Stegostoma tigrinum: one gene and its partner. The protein of the gene in region 1 interacts with the protein of each later gene in a biochemical or structural test. Links are inferred from orthologs where the notes say so. Each region holds a gene or a part of one and is shown in the gene's direction. Other genes may lie near its edges.

Region 1 (3,753 bases):
AAGAAAGCTAAACAACTCACCATTTATCCAGTGCAGTCAGTTTGCCTGTTTTCTTCCCTTTGGATGCCATTGCCTTGGCTTCAACCACATCCCCATAGAGAGCAAAAATGGACCTCCATACGGTAGGATTCTTGCAGTTAAACAATATTTCATGTCCGGTCATGTTACTTTATTCATTAAGCAGTTTCAACCTGCAAATAAAAATGACATTTATAACTGCACAAATGTTGTTGCACTAATCATTTTTGAAACACAAACCTTAGGGATGTACAAATCAGAAGCAGTAGGTCACTGAGTGCCTTGAGTCCATAGAACATTCAATATGATTTGATCATTCCACATACCCACCTCCCCAAGACAACATTTCACCACCAAGTGGGAAGGAATGATCCAGTGGTGTTATCACTTGACTGTTAATCTAGGGAAACCCAAGTAAGGTCCCTAACCCTAACCCTAACCTCTCTGATGAAGGGTCTAGGCCCGAAACGTCAGCTTTTGTGCTCCTGAGATGCTGCTTGGCCTGCTGTGTTCATCCAGCCTCACATTTTATTATCTAAGGTCCTGGGGACCTGGGTTTGATTCCTAGCAATGCAGACTTTTAGAACTTGAATTCAATAAATATCTGGAATTATGAGTCTAATGTTGACCATGAATCCACTGTCAATTGTTGTGGGAAAACCCATCTGATTTGCTAATGCACTTTAGGGAAGGAGATTTCCATCCTTTTCTGGTCTAGACTACATGTGACTCCAAATCCACAGTAATCTGGTTGACTCCTAGCTGCCCTCTGAGCAATTAAGGGTGGACAATAAATGCCCACATCCCATAATGATTTAAAGAAAACAATCAATATTCAGGGACTCTACTGCCACGGTTTTTTTGGCAGAGTTCCAAAGACCCGCTGTGAAAAAGAAATCGTAGAATTGTAAACAGCTTGAGGAAAAGGCCCTTCAGCCCATCATAACACTGCTAGTCATCAGACAACCATCCATTCGTTCATTCTAATCCCATTTTCCCGCACTTGGTCCTTAGCCGTCTAGATTTTTTTTTTATCTGAACTTGTTCACAGACGTTATTAGGCACCTCCGGAGCAGGTGGGGCTCGAAGCCAGGACTTCTGGCCCAGAGGTGGGGACACACCACCCGCACCAATAAAGGTTCCTGTGTGCTCCAACGTTTCAAATGTTCATCCCAAAACGTCTTCAACGTGCTGAGGGTTCCTGATTCTTATCATCCTCCTCAGGCAGTCAATCAATCACAGTCGCCACTCTCTGGGTTAGTTAATATTTACCCCGACTTTATAAGTTAATGGTATCAATCCTGGTCACACAGCGGCGGAGGGATGGAGCGGTTATGGGGAGGAAAGGAAGATTTCCATTATCAAGATGGCGGCGGTCCTGCTTCACGGGGGCGGCTACCGTCGCGTCCTGAATCGCTCACTCGGCCGTAGCGGCGCCAGGAGATGAGTTCAGCGGACGCGGCGGCGGACGACACGGGCGCCCGCCGCGCCGGGAGATGCCGTCACCGGGCGCGCTCACGTCGGCGGCGGATGACGCCGTTGTGCGCGGCCGGTTGCGTGCGGTTTGTACACAAACAGCGGGCGCCGCTCCTCGGGCCGATTCCTCCTCGCCCGGTGTGTCCCGCCTCTGAGCGCCTGAGGCCGGCCTCATTCCCCCCGGAGGTTCCTCATATCAGCGCAGCCGCCCCTCCCCCGACCACTGGGCCTAGGCCTAGGACTCCCCACACGCTCCCTCACAGCCTGGGGACTGTCCTACACCCTCAGGCCTTCCAGCAGCTGCGGGGAAGCCGGGTTTTACTTCACCCCCTCTCTCTCTTTTCCCCCCTGTGTCCTGCTTTCACCCGGGGTGCGGGGGGAGGTAAAGCTGCAGCATGTCCGGAAGCCCCGAGAAGAGCCTGACTGCTCAGGAGCTGAAGGAGCAAGGAAACCGCCTGTTCCTCAGCAGAAAGTATCAGGAAGCCGCGGCCTCCTACAGCAAGGCTATTGTGAGTATCTCGGCCGGTGCCGGGGAGAGGCCACGGAACAAAACCTCTTCACCCCCCGAGCTCATGAAATGCCCCTCATTCATTATGCTTTGTCACTCCTGCTTTATAATTTTCGAATGCCAAACGCCAGAACGAAAGGGTTCAGGTGACCCTTCAGGATGAGCAGTCATGCCCTGGGTCTGCTTCTAAGATGCTGCTTGGCCTGCTGTGTCCATCCAGCTTTACACTTTGTTATCTCAGGGTCTGGTTATTCGGTGCAGCTATATGACTCAACGCCGACGGCTCAAAATCCAGCAGATATAAGCGTTTAATTCTGTGCGTTTGTATGCCTAGAGGGATTACCTGAATCAGAAAGTAGATGACTATTTGAAAATACGTCTATGAACTTGTTGCATCAATTCGTAGGACTTGTGTATACAAGACTGTCTGTGTCTAAGTGATGAATCTTGGAATCTGTGTGATCAGAAATTACCTAAAGTTGTTCCTGGCTGTTTATAATGCTGTTGAAAGCATTATTAGATCACAGTATTGTAACAGGCTCTTACTTCTGTATGTGTCTTTTTACACTCAGCCATTTTGATATTGTGGTATTGGTATAAAATGCAAAGCTCTGAGGAGGAATCAGTGTTTGGAAAAGTATGTACTGTAGATAGGTCATATAACTGGGTAACTGTTTAGTAGATGGAGTACAAGGTGGAAAAACGTGTTGTTTGATGGGAAGAATAGAAAAGCAGTATGTTATTTAAATGGAGAGAGACTATAGAATGGTGTCGTACAAAGAGACCTGGGTGCCCTTGGACATGATTAACAAAAGTTGGCATGTGGATAATTAAGGTTTCAAATAGGATGTTGGAATTTATTGCAAGGGGCTGAAGTATAAAATGTCTAGCTGTTCCTGCATAGGACATATGTGGTACCGCAGTTAAGTATGAATGCACTTTTGATCTCTGTTTTAGAATCCCTACAGTGTGGAAACAGGCCATTTGGCAAAACAAGTCTACAGAACCCCTCCGAACAACATCCCACCCAGACCCATTCCCCTAATTTCCCACATCTAACACACCTAACCTAAACATCCCTGAACACTATGGGCAATTTAGCATGGCCAATCCATCTAACCTGCACAACTTTGGACTGTGGGAGGAAACCTGGAGGAAACCCACGCAGACTCGGGGAGAATGTGCAAACTCCACACGCAGCCGTCAGAGGGTAAAATCGAACCTGGGCCCCTGGTGCTGTAAGACTGCAGTGCTAGCCACTGTGCTGCCCCTTTTGCCAGGAATGTGCTTGCAAATTGTGAGCAGTTTAGAGAAGCTTCTCTAATTTGATTCCTGGAATGAAGGGCTTGTTTTGTGAGGTAAGATAGAGCAGGTTGGCTCCTGTACCCACTTGAATTTAAGAAGGTGAAAGGTGATTTTCTCGATTTACATTCAGAAGTGGCTTTTCAGGTTAGATACTAAGAGGGTGTTTTTTTCCCTCATACGGGTGACTAGAACTTGGGGCAGAGTTTCAGAATCAGATGTGTGTCATTCAAGATAGAAAATAATTTACATTTCTAAGGGTTATTAATCCCCGGAATTGTCTACCACAGTGGAGCAGTGGAAACTGTTATTAAATATAGTTAAGCTGGACAGTTGAGCTGGACAGATTTTTGACCCCAAGGGAGTCAAAAGTCATCAGGAAGGAAAGTGGAATTGTTTGCAATCAGATCTGGCAGATCTAATTGAATGGCAGACCAGGTTAAAGGGAA
Region 2 (3,753 bases), on another chromosome or scaffold:
TTGGAATAGAACTGATAACATAGTTCCGTCGATATTTTGGCAAGAGGAAAGGTTTTCTTTGTTGAATAACATCACAATTTTTATTCTTATATAACGTGATTTTAAGCACACATCTCCATGGCATAAAACTAGATGCATAAAATTGAGCTTTTCCCTGATAACTTTACACAAGGAATTGGTATGTAGAACTTGTAGAGGGACAGGACAAAGGGATTTATGGGTGCGGTTAAATATGTTAATTTCTTGAACATTAGGGCACATGGAATCAAAGTAAGTCATTAAGAAGAGGGATTGTTCTTATTGCAGAACAATGCAGCCTCAACTTCAGATAAAATTTTATTATGAAGTGGTAAGTAACCAGAAAAATTCAAACAAGAATCTAGAGGTGGCAAACATGATTACATGAACAAGGCTTTCAGCACTAAAGGCGGACAGTATTGAAAGTGTGTGCTGTTCTTGATGGTTAAAATGTAGGGGGCCCTTTTGTGGTGTCCCTACCCCCTGGACCCAGGAGGCCTGGGTTCAAGTCCCATCTGCTCGAGAGGTGTGTAACAACATCTCTTAACAGATAGATTAGAAAAATAGGTTAAATAAGAAAGAAAAATGTAGGTCTTTGCCTCCCCTTCAGGCAAGATAAGACACAATTGTTTAGTAATGTTTTAGTCCATCGAAATAATAACTGACTGGGGAGATATTATTATTTAATGGTTTTAATTGTATGTTAAAACAATCAAATGAAATGTATAAATACAATTCCTATCTTTACCCTTTTCATCTTTAATTTGTAATGCAGTCAAAGCATTTCTGGTCATTTTATGAGAATGTATAAAGATTTAGTGTGTGACAAACTGCTTAAATGTATGTTTTTGATAACTAATTTTGTTTCTGTTGATATCACTGCTATCTTGTTAGAGACCCTGTCTACCTACTAGCGATACTCAAAAGATGAAAGTATCTGGTGGGAAGAGACTCAGTCCTCCTCAAAATCTCCTACTCAGATTTAAGAAAGTGCAAGAGTGCAATGCGGGTGCTGGATGCAATCGTTGGTTCGGCTAACACTTTGAATTAGTGGATCCACCAACTATAGTTCTTGCTATCTCCGAACACTTTATCTGTATTTGAGATTTATTCAAATGCAGATCATCAGATGTTGTTCCCCTCACAAAGATGACACAATTTCCCGATTTGCACCGGTTGTGCCCCGCACAATGATGGCGTCCCAACCTGGTCTCCTCCACGTCCGCGACCCGGCATCCGCTGCGGAGCGGAAGTTAAACAGGCGCTTTTTGGAGGAGACATGTCCGGCGATACGGTTGCACTAACCCTGATGCACGGTAATGGCCGGTGACTCGGTTCTGCTTCCTCTGTCAGAAGGGGTAGCGAAGGAGCCTTGTGCAGGGTCCGGTTGATGGAGGGAGCGGGTAATCTATGAGCACCAGGAGCTGCAGAGCCCGGGCAAGCTCTGTCTGTGTCTGCACACTCAGCCTGTCTGCATTCACTGTTAATTAGCAAAGTGAGTTGGCTTCAGTCATCCTGCAGCCCAGCCCAGCCGTTCATCTACAGTATACCTGCCATCTCAGTGATCGAGGGGCAGAGGAATCTCTGATACATCTCTTCATGGACTATAAAACACTGCCTTATACTGTGATGGAGACAGATTCAATCGGGAATGATATAATTATCTGAAGAAGAAAATAAATGGTGGGGTTTCATGGAAAGGGCTGGGAGTGGAACAAATTTGCTGCTGCAGAGTTATGGACGTACAGGCCTGAACGGTCTCTTGTAATTTCTCTGAATATGGGAATATAATTCTGCATTTTTATAGCACGTGAGACATTGTGGCATAAAACTATGGGAGGTTTAAATGTGGATAAGAAACAGTCTGAATCCAAAGGCCTACACCTCATTGTGTATGCTGTATGCAACAATTAAATGTAATGCAAATTATATGCAAATAGATTAATTTCATCTGTTTATTAGGATACTGCAGAGTGCCTTTTCAGAAGCTGGAATATGTTTACTGTTGTATTTATATTTCATTCTTAGGTAGTTCAAAGCACAAGATTGAAATTTCTGCTGTACAGGAAGGATGTGAACCTACATTGCAGGACATGGCAACTGTTATTGCTCAAGTTACTGGAGTACCCCAGCAACTGCAGAAACTAATCTTTAAAGGTAATCATGACACATTGGAAAGATGGGCAGTGCATGAAATAATTTATCATCCACGTTGTGACTATCTAATGGTCTTGTGATACAAAAGTTCCACAGATTTGACACATTAGATAATTTTTTGCATTAGTACAATTTGGTATACTCTCAAGTCAAAAGCTTTTAGCAGTCTAGCCAGTTTGTAACCTTGGTTTGATATTTGATCTGGACATGAACTTCTGATCGTGCAGTTGCACATCATTGATAGGATTGGCATTTATTGCCCTTTTCTAATTGCACTCAAGCAGAAAGTGGTGTGTGATCTTCTTGAAATGTTACTGTCCATTTGGCATGGACCCCACTCCAGTGCTGTTGGCAAAGGAACTCCAGGATTTTCACTTGTGACCATGAAAGAACAGCAATATGGTTCCAAGTCGGGATGGTGTCTCAGGTGAAGTTCCCATGTATCTGCTGCCATTTCCTCTGAGGTGGTACAGGTCACCTGTTTGTATGGTGCTTCTGAAGGAGGCTTGGCAGGCTGTGACAGTTTTTTTTTGTAGATTGTATACACTACTGCTGCTGTGCTCTGGTGGAGGGACTGTTATTGGAGCCTCAGACATCCAGGCAACTGCAAATTAATCAGTCAAGACTCCAAACTTATTTTTAGATAGCTAGGCTATGGTGAGTTTGGAAGTAAATTACCTCAGATTTCCCAGCCTTTGACTTGCGTTTGCATTTATTGCTGCTGGCCCACTTCAGTTTCTGTATGTGTCAGTAAAGTGATTGTGTCTGTGCCTGAGTGAGTCGTAGACCAAGAGTACTTGTTGTTCTTTTTGTAGTAGCAATGTTCACGGATAAGCAAAAAAATGGCAGGGCTTCTTCAACTTTGATGTGGGAACTCCAGGATGATGCTCATATCCTGGATAACCATTTATGCTGCAGGTGTCATTAGTTGTAGCAGCTTAAATTCTGGGTTTCAGAGCTACAATGTGATCATGCTGCAGCTAGAAGTTGTGTAGGGAGAGAGTGAATAGGTGACCACTAAGTAATCAAAAAGGAACAGGCAGATAGTACAGTTTTCAACTAATATCTAATTCTGGAATCTAATATGGCAGATGGCTCTTGCAGCATTCTCCAGATGAGTGGAGGCTTAGCTGCACAGGGTGGTATAAAGACAGAAAAAGCCAAGTGATAGATGATTTGATAGGGGAATAGAAAAATGTTTCTGAACCACAAGTGTGACAGTGTGTTGCTTCTTTGGTGCTGTAATGAAGGATGTCACTAAGTAATTGTACAGCACCCTGAAGGGGGAGGATGAACAGCCAATAGCCAGACTCCATGCTGGAACCAATGACATGAGTCGTCCTACAGCCTGAGCATAGGGAACTGGGTAGAAAATTAGTAAGTAGGAACGCAAAACGTAATAATTGTACGTTACTCCCAGTGCTATCTGTAAATGAGTACAGAACTAGGATAGGACAGATGAATGCATACCTGTAAAGGTGGTGCATAAGGAAGGGCTTTAGATTCTTGGAATGTTGTAATTAGCTCTGAGAAACAAGGAAATTGTAAAGCTGGATTATTTGCACCTGAACAGAGCCG

What was found.
Region 2: of the proteins of stub1 (region 1) and bag1, one has a biochemical effect on the other in vitro, tested with the Homo sapiens proteins (3 studies listed by BioGRID, with this or other methods). The link is inferred for Stegostoma tigrinum from reciprocal best matches to the Homo sapiens genes STUB1 and BAG1.

The regions. Positions count from the first base shown.
Region 1 is NC_081376.1:48,039,282-48,043,034, reverse strand, and holds the start of stub1 (E3 ubiquitin-protein ligase CHIP), read left to right. Parts: upstream 1-1,509; 5' UTR 1,510-1,889; coding exon 1,890-2,003; intron 2,004-3,753. Other genes in the region: uncharacterized protein zgc:112496, read right to left, coding at 21-163. UniProt on the Homo sapiens protein: E3 ubiquitin-protein ligase which targets misfolded chaperone substrates towards proteasomal degradation.
Region 2 is NC_081355.1:88,368,539-88,372,291, forward strand, and holds the start of bag1 (BAG family molecular chaperone regulator 1), read left to right. Parts: upstream 1-1,222; 5' UTR 1,223-1,297; coding exon 1,298-1,334; intron 1,335-1,362; exon of another isoform or gene 1,363-1,513; intron 1,514-2,046; coding exon 2,047-2,175; intron 2,176-3,753. UniProt on the Homo sapiens protein: Co-chaperone for HSP70 and HSC70 chaperone proteins. Acts as a nucleotide-exchange factor (NEF) promoting the release of ADP from the HSP70 and HSC70 proteins thereby triggering client/substrate protein release.